4 linked regions of the Xenopus tropicalis genome follow. The protein of the gene in region 4 interacts with the protein of the main gene of each other region in a biochemical or structural test. Links are inferred from orthologs where the notes say so. Each region holds a gene or a part of one and is shown on either strand. Other genes may lie near its edges. The genes, in order: retreg1, nbr1, nek9 and gabarap.

What was found.
Region 1: the proteins of gabarap (region 4) and retreg1 are reported together in a solved structure, tested with the Homo sapiens proteins (2 studies listed by BioGRID, with this or other methods). The link is inferred for Xenopus tropicalis from reciprocal best matches to the Homo sapiens genes GABARAP and RETREG1.
Region 2: the proteins of gabarap (region 4) and nbr1 form a complex in vitro, tested with the Homo sapiens proteins (3 studies listed by BioGRID and IntAct). The link is inferred for Xenopus tropicalis from reciprocal best matches to the Homo sapiens genes GABARAP and NBR1.
Region 3: the proteins of gabarap (region 4) and nek9 form a complex in vitro, tested with the Homo sapiens proteins (2 studies listed by BioGRID and IntAct, with this or other methods). The link is inferred for Xenopus tropicalis from reciprocal best matches to the Homo sapiens genes GABARAP and NEK9.

What each region holds. Positions count from the first base shown.
Region 1 is NC_030682.2:79,279,236-79,283,615, forward strand, and holds the start of retreg1 (reticulophagy receptor FAM134B), read left to right. Parts: upstream 1-1,570; 5' UTR 1,571-1,687; coding exon 1,688-1,722; intron 1,723-3,718; exon of another isoform or gene 3,719-4,380. UniProt on the Homo sapiens protein: Endoplasmic reticulum (ER)-anchored autophagy regulator which mediates ER delivery into lysosomes through sequestration into autophagosomes.
Region 2 is NC_030686.2:19,645,809-19,648,885, forward strand, and holds the end of nbr1 (next to BRCA1 gene 1 protein), read left to right. Parts: intron 1-370; coding exon 371-449; intron 450-778; coding exon 779-884; intron 885-1,672; coding exon 1,673-1,846; 3' UTR 1,847-2,462; downstream 2,463-3,077. UniProt on the Homo sapiens protein: Ubiquitin-binding autophagy adapter that participates in different processes including host defense or intracellular homeostasis.
Region 3 is NC_030684.2:82,279,497-82,283,123, reverse strand, and holds part of nek9 (serine/threonine-protein kinase Nek9), read left to right. Parts: intron 1-1,108; coding exon 1,109-1,173; intron 1,174-1,474; coding exon 1,475-1,525; intron 1,526-2,586; coding exon 2,587-2,779; intron 2,780-3,011; coding exon 3,012-3,156; intron 3,157-3,627.
Region 4 is NC_030679.2:153,336,063-153,340,257, forward strand, and holds the start of gabarap (GABA(A) receptor-associated protein like 1), read right to left. Parts: upstream 2,874-4,195; 5' UTR 2,774-2,873; coding exon 2,684-2,773; intron 1-2,683. UniProt on the Homo sapiens protein: Ubiquitin-like modifier that plays a role in intracellular transport of GABA(A) receptors and its interaction with the cytoskeleton.

The sequences.
Region 1 (4,380 bases), on a different chromosome or scaffold from region 4:
TTGAAGCGATTTTTAAAAAAAATCACAAATTTTGATAAAAACCAATAACTTTAGGAAAGCATTGCGACTTGATAGTTTGGAGTAGACAGACAGTTGTGCCTATTCTGTATTCCCCAGAATCTGTTCTTTCCAAAAATGTACAATTTTCTGGGATTAACCTTCTGTTAGTGGAATTTTGGCCTTGAAATCCAAAGTATGCAGTTTTTTTGGAGCAGTGCTTTGGGAATTTGGTAGTGTACTGCTGGGAGTTTTTGACCTATACAAGTGAGAAATCTCCATAAAACTATATATATTTGGTATTGGCACGTTCAGGAGACATGGGACTTTCCAAATCAGTTGTATATTCGTGCATAAAATAATTTTTGTTTCTAGTATGTGTGATTATATTATGGAAAATTTGTTTTTTTTTGCATTTTTAGACATTTAGAAGCCTATATCTTGTTACAGAATTGGAATTACACAAAAATTCTACCATATTTTGAAAGCTTAGGTTGTTCTGAAAAAAACGATATATTGTTTTCCTTGGTAAACTAAAAGTCCCCCCGAGGAAAGGCCCCTAAAGTGAAACAGTGCAAAATGTTCAAAAACTGTCTGGCAATACAAGTTCCGCTTTGACCAAAATGGCTGGCAGTAAAAGGGTTAAGAAGGATAATAATAAACTTGAGAGAGTGAAGAGATGTACACCTAAAGTGGCAAAAGGGAGGATTAAACTATGAGTCACGGGAAAATATTTTTTTTTTTGTGTTGGGGGGGGGGGGGGGGTAAGCAGGTAAAAGTGTTATGTGTATATGTGTGCACTAGGGCTTGTTTGAAAGGGTTGAGCTTGATGGGCTTTTTTTAACAGTGGCATAACTATCTATATACCCCGCGGTCACAGCAGGGCCCAGCCCCCCTGCCCAGCCTCTTTTCTACCTTAAAAATGGCTGCATGGTGTCGGATGAGAGGTGCGGTGCAAGTAAGCCGGGGGGGGGGAATATTTGAGGGAGCCTGGAGCGACCAAGTTACACTACTGCTAACTATGTATACAGTATTACAGAATTCTGTAGTCTACACTGCAGTATAGATAGGAGAAGCCACAAGTTTTGTAACTGTGGTTATATTTCTACCAATACACATGAGATTCTTTATATACAGGAAATGTCAACATGCAATATTTTTGTATCCTTGGTCTGTTGGCAGCTTTTATCATCCCTTGTATGGACATCTTAACATTAGTAAATGGGGCCTACAGTTTTTTTTAATAAAAACAAAAGTTTTGCAAAGCAATCAGCTGAATTTTAGAACTTAATATTCTTTAAGGAAATAGCTTATTGCTATTCTTCATTTGTTTTTGTTTATGAACTAGGATACAGTACTCCTGAAACCAGGAGTTGTTATTATGAAAGTGTTTGAAATGGGTGTTGTCTAATCACTCCACAAGATAATGTGCCAGCAGGCTGGGACTGAAGCACAGCCCATGAGATCCATGGCTCGCTCAGCTCTATTTATAACAGCCAATCATTGCTCTCATGCTGTCTGCTCCATTCAAGACAAGCTGACACACACAGGAAGAACATAAACACAGACTCGGAGCTCACATAGCTTGCTCAGACTGTCTCAGCTCTCCTTACAGTCGCGGCCAAGTTCAAAAGACACATCTGTACTTGGATTACTTTTTTGGCACAAACAATTTTTGGAGAAGGCAGAAATGCCTGAAGGAGAAGATTCAGATCCACATGGAAGGTACTGGAAAGTAAATGTGCCTTGCTAGGAAAGTGTTCTTTTGGGTTGATTTCAGTGATATACACATTTGTAAAATTTGTCATGAATTACTGTTTGCATTTGTTGCTTCTGTTTGTATAACATTGTGTTCATTTGCCCTCTGTTGTTCATTGCTAATTAAACTGTTATAACTGATATAAATAGCATAAATATCTTTCTCTTTTCATAGTTTTTGTCCCAATAACATACTCATTTTCCTAAGAAGTTGTTAGTATATTTGTACAAAGGCCCCCCTGTGGTGGTCATCAGCATTCCCTCACAGGGTGCATTCCAGTCAGTCAGCAGTGGCATGAGAGTCAGTCACATTCAGCTCTGACCGCCAAAGGGCATCTGTTGGACTAACAATAGAATTTAGTTTTTTTTTTGTGTACAGTGATTAATTTTTTGCATTGTCTTAAGGTTAGATGTTATATTAATACTCTCTTCAGTATGCCCAGTATGATGATATCTAGAAAATAAATAGGAATTAAGCCATTAATATTCTTCTATTCAGGCATTCTCCTATTTATATTACAATGTCTCATTCAAAGCACTGCATGGTTGCTAGGGTAAATTGGAGCACAGCAACCAGATAGCTGCTAAATGCCATACTGATAAGCTGTTAAACACAATCTGATTAATTCAAAAACAAAAAAAAATTTAAAAACTGCAAATAGCCTCAGAACAATACTGCCAACAAAATGCAAAAAGTTAATTTAAAGGCAAACTACCCCTTTTAAGTAATATTTCATGACAATGAATATGTTGCTTTTGGTGGCCTGTTGTAAGTTTCCTATTAAAAAGTAACAACCAGGACTTCAGCAAATTCTGCTTTCAATAGCAATTACATTTACACCTAACTTTTAAAGCGCTAATAATTTTTAATAATTGAAATTGGAATTATGTTTTCTTTTATTAGGCAAAACAATTATTTTTGGGGTTGACATGTCCTTTAAGGTTATGGCCTAAAAATGCACCTTGGAAGATAGATGCAACCTTATGTCATGTTTGCTGTGATTCTGGTCTATAATTGAAAGCAATCTTCAACTGTTCCTGGTACTTTGTTCTTAGGAAAAGTCTCTGCAACTAAATGACCCATAAGGCATTAGACTATGTATGGAAATGTCAGGGCCTTATGGTCTTTACAGGGTTGAAGTCAGGATCAGGGAGGAAGCTGAGTTCAGAAAATTATACGCCGTATCCATGGGGTAAAGCAAGTCTCTTAGTCAAATTCAGGCTAAAAATTGTGGCAAGTAAGAACAAAGCTGAAAGAAACGTGTAGATTGAGCCAAAACAGTAATTTAATGCACCAAGGAACTTTACAATGAAAGATATATATTGAGGCATTGAATCCGGGTCTTTGGTGTCCTTTCGGTTTGAATTTTCACGCCAAAGTGGCATGTGATGACATCATGCAGCAACAGTGTGACAATGTGACATTGTGGCCATGGGCACTGCCTTCTTTGGAAGGAGGCAGAGTGCTTCTAACCAGAGAACTCCTGACAGGGCATCCCCTGGCACACTCCTAGTTAGCATGATTTAGAATCTTGCTTCCTTATTATTGCTTATTTGTGCCCCTAGACCAGCTCATATCATCATCATCATTTTTTTTTATAATACAGAAGTCATGAATCTCTCTCCTATTTAATGAATGGTGCTTAGTGGTGTAATTTATCACATGACACACTGAAACTTGTGCATTAGAATATGTAATGTACTCTCTGTTGTAAAATATGAGGAGTCAGTTCGAGAGCTGCTCCTGCCATGAGGCAAGGTAAGAACTTTCACCCAGCTATCAGCACAAGAGCCACAATATAAATTTTTGCACTCTACATGGGCTTGGCACAATTTACATCCTTCTTTTAGCCCTTAATATATTAGCCTGCATGTATTTATGCGCACATTCAGCTTCATGCCTAAATTATATGCTATGTATATGCCTGCTATATAAATAATGGTATATACATAAAGAACAATAAATACTAATATGGGACAGTTCAGGGTTGAATTTTCAAATTCATCTTATCATTTATCATTTAAGGAATTTTTTAACATGTCCAAAAAGGTTCCCAAATGAATCTATTTAATATAAAGTATTGTTTTCTAAAGGCAATATCTAATAGCACCAGTAATTTTTTCTCAGGGGGAACAGCAATTGATTGAAAACCTCAATTTAGGAGATGTGGGGTTATGAAGATTTGAGCAAGTATTGTAGGGTTATGAACACTTGAGCAAGTATTGTGAGTATTAGTGTAATGCAAGTCATTCAGTAGGATGCTGACAGGTTGCCCTGTGCCATGCTCTGGATTTTAAATCCTGCCCAAGATACATCTGGAGCAGATACTCCAGATGCAAGTTCTTTAGTAAGTCTAGTGAGGATCATCATAGCTAAACCAGAATATAACCCAGGGGTGGGCAAACTACGGCCGCGGGCCACATCCGGCCCCTTGGCCTTTTTAATCCGGCCCGCCGCCGACGCCAAGTCTCATCACGCGAGACTGGAATTAAAGAGATGAAGGGGGTGTAACGCTGGCCTGGCCCTGCCCGCCCTGGCCCGGTCCGGCACGGGGGTAAGTAAATGTGGCCCGTGAGCCAAAAAGTTTGCCCACCCCTGATATAACCTATGGTACACATGGCATT
Region 2 (3,077 bases), on a different chromosome or scaffold from region 4:
TCGTGGGTTAGTAAATCAGCCCCATAGAGTTAAAATTGATGGAGATTTTTTTTTTCTACATTAATTATCGTACTTAATTAATGTGACTAGTGTTTCCAGGTTATCATTCTGAGCATGCTCATTTAGGAGTTGCAGTTCAATACAGATCATGAATGAATTCTTCTTTATGTTCTTATGTCCAACATATATCTTAACAATCAGTAGTGACAGTCTAAATAGTGACTGTCTATTGCATCTTATAGCAGCCTCTCTGGCATTTGTGAGAATCCTAGCCTCATTCCAACTGATCCCATGTAAAATTAATATAGGTTTACTCACTGATTTATACTCTTGTTTAATACTCTTCACTTATTTGATGGTTTTCTGAAAGATTCTTCAGATGAAAACACATCAGCCTTAGAGCCTACAGCTTGTGCCCCAGCACACAATCAACAGACTGATCACGCAAGGTAACCCAACAGTTAATCATGGTTATATGGAAGATTACATAGATCATGTATCCAAGATAATATTGGTGATTTCCCATGGATGCACTTCAGTCTTGTAACTGTATTAAATTCATTGTGTATATAAACTTTCACATTGCTAAAATTATGTGGGTCTATCGGCCTTCTACTTTGATTACTGAATTTTTTACTTGAGCCAATGTCATGCCAACATGTACCAGTTTGTATTCTTGGTTTGCCAGCTTCCTTGCAATCTCATTTCTGTTTTTTGAGATAATAAAGGAAACAAAATAGTTCTGTTATGTTTAATGCATGTTTTTGATTTCCAACAGACAACTCACCAGTGTCAGCATTGCCGGGGGTCTTGTGAAAGGTGCCCTATCTGTTGCTGCTTCTGCTTATAAGGCTTTATTCTCTGGACAACCAGAGATAAATCTGGTGAGTGCAGCAACTCTGTCAACTTTAACCCTTCATTCAAGTGTTCATAGAAAGGCTTGCATGCATTAGTTAGTGGCTAAATGGTTAGTGTTATGGGCAAAGTATCATAGAGCTTTTGTTTTCTATGTGAATGTTGTTAAAAAAAACAGAATGGAGAATATGAGCTCCATGTATTTGAAGAAAGTAGGTCCCGCCTTAAGATGCCAAAAGTTAACAAATGATCTCCTGAAGTCAGATACATTAGATAGCTTTCAGAAAAGCTAGTGGTGCTCTGTACCTGCCCATTATCAATATATATAAGACATTAAGACATTTTGTGTAATGAGCTACTAAGGAAATGCCTTCCCCTTTAAACAAAACAGGTATTGCATGAGGGCAGAGGAACATTTGATTTTGTATGTATGTGCGGTCACAGCCTCATTGCCTAATGTTTTAAATTGTAGTGGTGAGCACAACTTTCTCTTTTTGCTATAGCTTTAAGAAAGGGTTGGATGCCGTTTTATAAAATTATAAAGTACAAAGTTAACGAAATTAGCACTTCAAGTACAGAGTTGATACAGGGAGTGGTGCAGTTGCCATTGTGGATTCAGGAAGGAATTTTTCCCTTTCCGAGGCAAATTGGAGAAGCTTTAGAAGGTGTTTTTAACCTTCCTCTGATTCAACTAGTTAGTCAGGGTTCCCAAAAATATTGAATTGGTGGAGGCATTTCCAAAATCTTTTATTATTACCTATACTATGTTAAATATTCTATTTAATGCCAACAACTCTGCTTGCTTCTCCATCTCCAGCCAAGAAATTCAGAAGAACAAGACAGAGCCATGATGGCTATCCTCCTCGAGATGGGATTCTGTGACCGCCAACTCAACCAACGCCTGCTACACAAGCACAGCTACAACCTCATGGACGTAGTGACCGAACTGATCCAGATCAACGACAACGATTGGTACTCTGCTCGTTACTGAACTAGAGAAGAGAGCTTAGTTCTGCCCTTAGACATTTTGAAGTAGAAAAAAAGCAGATGTATAATGCGTTGCTAGCAAGACACATCTTTTTATTTGGCCCTATAATTTCCATTATATTTCCATTACTTTAGTTAAGATTCTCTGGAAGAACAATATTTGCATCAAAAAGAGTTTCCAGCTCTATAGATAAATGTGCAATGAGCAAGAAGTGCCCCTTTGGTGTTGGCTGACACGGGCTTGGTGTTATCAGACTGAATGGCTGATACTGGAATAAGGAGTATCAATACACAGTATGTAAATCAAGTCCTGAACTTATTAGGAAGTAATTCTATTTCCTGAAGCAACATTGATTTAAAGGCTCAGAATATGAATTTTCTCAGTATACTAAGAGCTGCAAAGATTTAATTTAAGGGCAGTAAGTGGGAAAATCCTGGCAAGATCACAGAGATTTTCATGAAGCGGAAAAATCTGCTTTTGAAAAAAACAATGTTATTTGTGAATGAATGTTTCTGTAAATAGATGTGGGGAAAATGATAAATAACTAGATGAATACTGTAAACAGGGGCCACTTTTGGTGCACTCACCAGCAGATGAATAAAATATCTTTCACTCTAAAGATTTTGCCTCACTTGTTTCTTCTGGGTTCTGTGTGTGTGTGTGACTATGTCTATCATGGGTCTTAAACAATTTAAAGACTATTTTTGGGTAAATGATCTTCTTCCTTTCTCTTTCATGCAACAGTGCACACAAACAGCTGCTGCCAGTCCGTTTATATGGAGCCTTAGTGGAACAGCATGCAAAGGTTTCAAAGGCTGTTGCCCTGTTCCTAATTAAACTGCCTATTATAGGGCTCATTTACAGTGCCCCATTGTGAAAATAGCAACAGGCATCTGTGGCTCCCTTCACTAATTCTACTGGGGTTCATTTGATTAGAGCTCTGCCCCTATATGTTTAAATAATTTTTAACAGACCTAAGTCATGGTGATCTAATATACAGAAAGATATCTTATCTGGAAACCCTCAGGTCACAAGCATTTTGAATATATCCAATACACGTATTATATATATATATATACCCTAGTTTTTTCAGATAAAGTATGACTAGTTTGTGCAACATATTGTGTCCTTAGTATCACTTATAATAAAATTTATAATATTATGGTTTATGTATTTATTGATGGAAAAAGTAATGTATTGGAGTGCTAAAATTTCTTAAAGGAAAATGGGACAA
Region 3 (3,627 bases), on a different chromosome or scaffold from region 4:
AGTAAATATCCATGGTAGAAGGATGTTTGTGGTAGCTATAAAGTGGTTCTGTCTAAACTTTTACATGTACTGTAACCAGGGCTGCCATCAGAAATCATGGGGGCCCTTACAACATAATTCAGGTTGAAAACCAAAACACACATTGATGGTCAGGGCCCTGTGATCAGTAATCAGAGCTAGTGTAGTGAGGGGGGGGGGGGGGGGGGGGGGGGTTAAAGGTTTTTATAAAAATGGTTTGAATTTTTTAATGTATATTTGGTGAGATGTGAGAACAGCTCACCACAAAAAACTTCACCCACTTTCTGTTGATGCCTATGGGATTTTTAGAAGTGTATTTATCAAATAGTGAAATCCAACTTTCATCCACTGATAAATACACTTCTAAAAATCCCACAGGAATAAATAGAGTAGGTGAATTTTTCAGTTGTGAGCTCTGATTTCACATTTTGATAAATATGACCCTTAGTTTTGGACTTTAAACCTCCCACATCTCTTATAACTTAAGTGGGGGCCCTGCAGTGCTGCACTGGTGTGTTTTGGGTCTTAGGGGGGGGCCAGCTAATCCATGTAAATGCAGCATGGCCAGGCCCCCCTTATGACCCAAAACCCACCAGGCTTAGGACGATTGCCACGCCTGTCCATCCCTGCTGGTGACTCTGAGTGGAACTATGCTTCGTGGACTGAATTAAGTGATGAAGACATACAAAACAATCTGTCGACCCATGAAAAAAAAACAATAAAACGTCAATTAAACCCAATAGGATTGTTTTGCCTCCAATAAGGAGTAATTATACCTTAGTTGGGATCAATTACAATGTACTGGTTTATTTTTACAGAGTAAAAGGAAATACATTTTAAAAATCTGAATTATTTGATTAAAATGCAGTCTATGGGAGACAGGCTGGTCATAATTCGGAGCTTTCTGGATAACTGGCTTCCATATAACTGATCCCATACCTGTAGTAGTTCTTAATAAATACTTGATGGTACAAATGTGGGATGACTTCCATATCTAGAGGGGTACATATTCCACACTTGTATTGTGTATTGTGTATGGTAAATGTGTTAAAAGGTATGTATTTTGATTTTTAGCTGTTTAATATTATAGGACCCAGAGAAGCGCCCAACAGCAGATGAGATTCTGAAAATGCCAATATTGAGCTGGAGGAGAAGGTACTTATAGATCAAGTGTGTTTTGTTTTTAATCAATAGTCTCAATATCTTTTATTTACCATGCATTTTATTTTACCATGCGTTCCCAGTATGTGTAATCTAAATTATAATTCACCTTAATATAACATTCTTTCATTCTTTAAGGTTAGCAAATAGCATTTTCAGCATCTTCAGTTATGAAACTGAGGCTGGGAATCTGCAGTATAGCATTATTTCCAAGCTCTCAGCATCCAGAACAGTAAATACATGTATTGTGTTTGTTTTAAGGGTTCACTAAACTTAAAATATTCTTTTTAAATAGAGACATGGAGGAAAAAGTATCTATGCTGAATCGATCCAATAAGAAGCCCAGGTAATAATCAAAACATGCTTATAGTGAGTGAGAATGTATTGGTGCTTGATGAAGGGATGGTATAAAGCCTGGAACCTGGGTTGTGGCATGAATAAATTACTCTTTCTTCAGTAATTTGGAGTATTATTTCTGTGATTGTCCACCCTTTACAGAGGGGTTTACGGGTTGCACATGATGCATGAAAAAGTGACATTATGGGGCAGATTTATCAAAATGTGAGTTTAGAGCTTAATACATAAAAACTCATCCATGTTCTATTCATTCCTATGGGATATTTAGAAGTGTATCAATGAGTGAAAGTTCGAGTTCGCCATTTGATAAACATGCTTCTAAAAATCCCATAGGAATGAATAGAATATGGGGGAGTTTTTATGTATTAAGCTTTGAACTCACATTTTGATAAATCTGCCCCTATTTATACAGTAGTACTGTGCCATTTTGATGGCTACCTCTATTGACAAGCGTATGGTTACTATTTTATATTGATAATTCTGTTGGTCAATGATTAATGCCTTTTGTGAGTAGGAAAGTTGAACCAGCAAACTCAGTGTAAACAATACAAAATACTCTATTAATTGACTTTCACCTCAATATTAAAAAATAGTTTTAGGACAGGCAATAGTAAGGTTGTATCATATACATTGCACATTTTGGTGAACTGTTTTACTTACGTGTTTGTATATCTGTTAAACGTTTTGCTTTATTTTGTGTGCCATCCAATCATCCAGTTTTATTTTTATCACTGCCTGATATGTAACATTTCTGGGAATGTACCCATTCACTGCATTTTGTAGTCACATGACTGCCCTGTTTCTTATCTCCTTGGCACCATTTTCACTTTTGGCATCCTATTCTTTCTTTCTTTGAATGTTTTCTCTTCACCTTTTTGTTTTGATTGTTGTGGTGTGTATTGTAAGTTCTTAACACTCCCTTCCTGTAATCATTTAAATCTCTAAACTGTTTTTAAGACACCTTCACCCCACTCTGTGACCATTCCATTTTTTTTTTATTTTGTGTTTTGTCACCTTTTGGGTCTTTCTTCCATTCATAATGCTTCCCAGGACGGGTACAGTTACAGAAGCCCCTATCGCTGTCGTTACATCAAGGAGCAGTGAGGTGTATGTATGGGGAGGTGGAAAGACCACTCCTCAGAAGCTGGATGTTTTCAAGGGTGGATGCCGAGCACGGCAGGTCTGTGCTGGAGATGCTCATTTTGCTGTAGTGACCGTGGAAAAAGAGCTTTACACTTGGGTGGTGAGTGCTAAATGAAGGAAGAAATTCTTGGTACTGGGAACTTCATGGGAGGTACAGGTGGTGTACGGTGGTGGGTCTTTGTTAGGATTGCAAAGGAAGGGGACTTCCAGGGACTTCACTGAAGAGGAAGGTACCTGATATGGGTTTTGTATGCTGTCATTTCAGCTACATTAATTCTAATATACGATATACACATTTAAACACATTTTTTTTAAATTTTTTTAAAATTCAGAACATGCAGGGAGGATCAAAACTACATGGACAGTTGGGACACGGAGACCGTGCCTCCTACCGTCAACCAAAACATGTGGAAAAACTTCAAGGAAAGTCAGTACAGCAAGTCAGTTGTGGAAGTGATTTCACCGTATGCATTTCAGGTCAGAGTGAAAAGCTAAATAAGTACAAAAGATTAAAATGTATATACTTTTAGATATAGTTATCCAATACCTGGAAAAAATTATGCCTCTGCACTGACATTATAGTGCAGGTCTGGAATCATTAATATTAATATATGATAATTAAATGTAATTTTTTTGGGGGGGGTGGAGTTGGTTTTAGGCTAAAAGCAAATTGTCTTTTTCAGCTATACATAGCAAAGGTTAGGCTGAAAATTGCAAAAGCATTAGGGATGCACCAAATGCAGGATTCTGTTTGGGATTCGGCCAAGATCTGGCCTTTTTCAGCAGGATTCAGATTTGGGCAAATCCACACTCCTGGCCGAATCCTTAAAATTATGGGACTTTTTGTCACATAAACACGCAAGTTGAAAATTTTTCACGTGGTTCTCTTTGGCCTTTCCTTATCTTAATTTGAATATGCATATGATTCGGTATTCGCACAAATCTTTC
Region 4 (4,195 bases):
CCCCAGTCTCTCCCCGATGTTATCCCCCAGTCTCTCTTCTCCCCATGGTTATACCCCCAGTCTCTCTCTCTCCCCATGTTATACCCCAGTCCTCCTCTCCCCATGTTATACCCCCCAGTCTCTCCCCTTGTTATACCCCAGTCTCTCCCCATGTTATTTACCCCCAGTCTCTCTCTCCCGAGTTATACCCCCAGTCTCTCTCTCTCCCATGTTATACCCCCAGGTCTCTCTCTCTCCCATGTTTAAAACCCCCAGTCTCTCTCCTTCCCATGTATACCCCCAGTCTCTCTCTCTCCCCATGTTATACCCCCAGTCTCTCTCTCTCCCCATGTTATACCCCCAGTCTCTCTCTCTCCCCATGTTATACCCCCAGTCTCTCTCTCCCCATGTTATACCCCCAGTCTCTCTCTCTCCCATGTTATACCCCCAGTCCTCTCTCTCCCCATGTTATACCCCCAGTCACTCCCCATGTTATACCCAGTCACTCCCCATGTTATACCCCCCATCTCTCTCCCCATGTTATACCCCCAGTCACTCCCATGTTATACCCCCAGTCTCTCTCTCTCCCCATGTTATACCCCAGTCTCTCCCCATGTTATACCCCCAGTCTCTCTCTCTCCCCATGTTATACCCCCAGTCTCTCTCTCCCCCATGTTAAACCCCCAGTCTCTCTCTCCCCATGTTATACCCCCAGTCTCTCTCTCTCCCCATGTATAACCCCAGTCTCTCTCTCTCCCATGTTATACCCCCAGTCTCTCTCTCTCCCCATGTTATACCCCCAGTCTCTCTCCTCTCCCCATGTTATACCCCCAGTCTCTCTCTCTCCCCATGTTATACCCCAGTCACTCCCCATGTTATACCCCCAGTCTCTCCCCATGTTATACCCCCAGTCTCTCTCTCTCCCCATGTTATACCCCCAGTCACTCCCCATGTTATACCCCCAGTCACTCCCCATGTTTATACCCCCAGTCTCTCTCTCTCCCCATGTTATACCCCCAGTCTCTCTCTCTCCCCATGTTATACCCCAGTCTCTCTCTCTCCCCATGTTATACCCCCAGTCTCTCTCTCTCCCCATGTTATACCCCCAGTCTCTCTCTCTCCCCATGTTATACCCCCAGTCTCTCTCTCTCCCCATGTTATACCCCCAGTCTCTCTCTCTCCCCATGTTATACCCCCAGTCTCTCTCTCTCCCCATGTTATACCCCCAGTCTACCCCAGTCTCTCTCTTCCCCATGTTATACCCCCAGTCTCTCTCTCTCCCCATGTTATACCCCAGTCTCTCTCTTCCCCCATGTTATACCCCCAGTCTCTCTCTTCCCATGTTATACCCCCAGTCTCTCTCTCTCCCCATGTTATACCCCCAGTCACTCCCCATGTTATACCCCAGTCTCTCCCCATGTTATACCCCCAGTCTCTCTCTCTCCCCATGTTATACCCCCAGTCTCTCTCTCTCCCCATGTATAACCCCCAGTCACTCCCCATGTTATACCCCCAGTCACTCCCCATGTAACCCCAGTCACTCCCCATGTTATACCCCAGTCTCTCTCTCTCCCCATGTTATACCCCCAGTCTCTCTCTCTCCCCATGTTATACCCCCAGTCTCTCTCTCTCCCCATGTTATACCCCCAAGTCTCTCTCTCCCCATGTTATACCCCCAGTCTCTCTCTCTCCCCATGTTATACCCCAGTCTCTCTCTCTCCCCATGTTATACCCCCAGTCTTCTCTCTCCCCACGTATATACCCCCAGTCTCTCTCTCTCCCCATGTTATACCCCCAGTCTCTCTCTCTCCCCATGTTATACCCCCAGTCTCTCTCTCCCCATGTATACCCCCAGTCTCTCTCTCTCCCCACGTTATACCCCAGTCTCTCTCTCTCCCCACGTTATACCCCAGTCTCTCTCTCTCTCCCCATGTTATACCCAGTCTCTCTCTCTCCCCATGTTATACCCCCAGTCTCTCTCTCTCCCCACGTTATACCCCAGTCTCTCTCTCTCTCCCATGTTATACCCCAGTCTCTCCCCATGTTACCCCCAGTCTCTCTCTCTCCCCATGTTATACCCCCAGTCTCTCTCTCCCCATGTTATACCCCCAGTCTCTCCCCATGTTATACCCCCAGTCTCTCTCTCTCATGTTATACCCCCAGTCTCTCTCTCCCCATGTTATAACCCGCCCAGTCTCTCTCTCCCCATGTTATACCCCCAGTCTCTCCCCATGTTTACCCCCCAGTCTCTCCCCACGTTATACCCCCAGTCTCTCTCTCTCCCCATGTTATACCCCCAGTCTCTCTCTCCCCATGTTATTACCCCCAGTCTCTCTCTCCCCATGTTATTACCCCCAGTCTCTCTCTCCCCAATGTTATACCCCCAGTCTCTCTCTCCCCATGTTATACCCCCAGTCTCTCCCCATGTTATACCCCAGTCTCTCTCTCTCTCCCCATGTTATACCCCAGTCTCTCTCTCCCCCCATGTTATACCCCCAGTCTCTCCCATGTTATACCCCCAGTCTCTCTCTCTCCCCATGTTATACCCCCAGTCTCTCTCTCTCCCCATGTTATACCCCCAGTCTCTCTCTCTCCCCATGTTATACCCCCAGTCTCTCCCCATGTTCCTGCCCCAGAGGAAGGTTCCTGCCCCAGAGGAAGGTTCCTGCCCCAGTAGTTGCCCCGGGGGCAGTATGTCACACACCGGGACTCGGTCGGGGTATTTCTTGCGGATTTTCTCCCCCTCGGAGCGGCGCTTCTCGAAGGGATGTTCCTCTTTATACACGAACTTCATGGCGGACTCTCCGGGCGGTACCGGTTCGAGACTGCGATTGGAGTTTCGGTTCCTGTTGTTTTCAGGACTGACACTGACAGGAAATAAACAGGCCGAGCCCCGCCCCCCACTTCCGCATCGTGGCTCCGCCTTCCCAACGTCAGCCGCTGCGTCATATCGGGCCCGGAGCTCTGTAACCATAGCAACCGCCCCTCCCGCCCCTTCACTCACTTGTGCGATTGGAACGGAAACCTTTCAGTCTGTTTCATTCTGTTTGTGTGAGAGAGAAGTGAGTGTGAGAGTGAGTGTGAGAGTGTGAGTGAGAGAGCGTGAGTGGGAGTGTGTGTGTGTGAGTGTGAGAGTGAGTGTGAGAGTGAGTGTGAGAGTGAGAGTGAGTGTGAGAGTGAGTGTGAGAGAGAGAGTGAGTGTGAGAGTGAGTGTGAGAGTGAGTGTGAGAGTGAGTGTGAGTGTGAGTGTGAGAGTGAGAGTGAGTGTGAGAGTGAGTGTGAGAGAGAGAGTGAGTGTGAGTGTGAGAGTGAGTGTGAGAGTGAGAGTGAGAGTGAGAGTGAGAGTGAGTGTGAGAGAGAGAGTGAGTGTGAGAGTGAGTGTGAGAGTGAGTGTGAGAGTGAGAGTGAGTGTGAGAGTGAGAGAGAGAGTGAGTGTGAGAGTGAGTGTGAGTGTGAGAGTGAGAGTGAGTGTGAGTGTGAGAGTGAGAGTGAGTGTGAGAGTGAGTGTGAGTGTGAGAGTGAGTGTGAGAGAGAGAGTGAGTGTGAGAGTGAGTGTGAGTGTGAGTGTGAGAGTGAGTGTGAGTGTGAGAGAGAGAGTGAGTGTGAGAGTGAGTGTGAGTGAGAGAGCGTGAGTGTGAGTGAGAGAGTGTGTGAGAGAGAGAGAGAGAGAGAGTGAGTGTTAGTGAGAGTGTGAGAGTGAGTGTGAGTGTGAGTGAGAGAGCGTGAGTGTGAGTGAGAGAGTGTGAGAGTGAGTGTGTGTGTGAGTGTGAGAGTGAGTGTGAGAGAGAGAGTGAGTGTGAGAGTGAGTGTGAGAGTGTGAGTGTGAGTGAGAGAGCGTGAGTGTGAGAGTGTGAGTGTGAGTGAGAGAGCGTGAGTGAGAGAGTGTGAGTGAGAGAGTGAGTGTGAGAGAGAGTGAGTGTGAGTGAGAGTGTGAGTGTGAGAGTGAGTGTGAGTGAGAGAGTGAGGGTGAGAGTGAGTGTGTGAGAGTGAGTGTGTGTGTGAGAGTGAGTGTGTGTGTGTGAGAGTGAGGGTGAGAGTGAGTGTGTGTGTGAGAGTGAGGGTGAGAGTGAGTGTGTGTGTTTGTGAGAGTGAGTGTGTATGTGAGAGTGAGGGTGAGAGTGAGTGTGTGTGTATGTGAGAGTGAGTGTGAGTGTGTGTGTGTATGTGAGAGTGAGTGTGAGAGTGAGTGTGTGTGTGAGAGTGAGGGTGAGAGTGA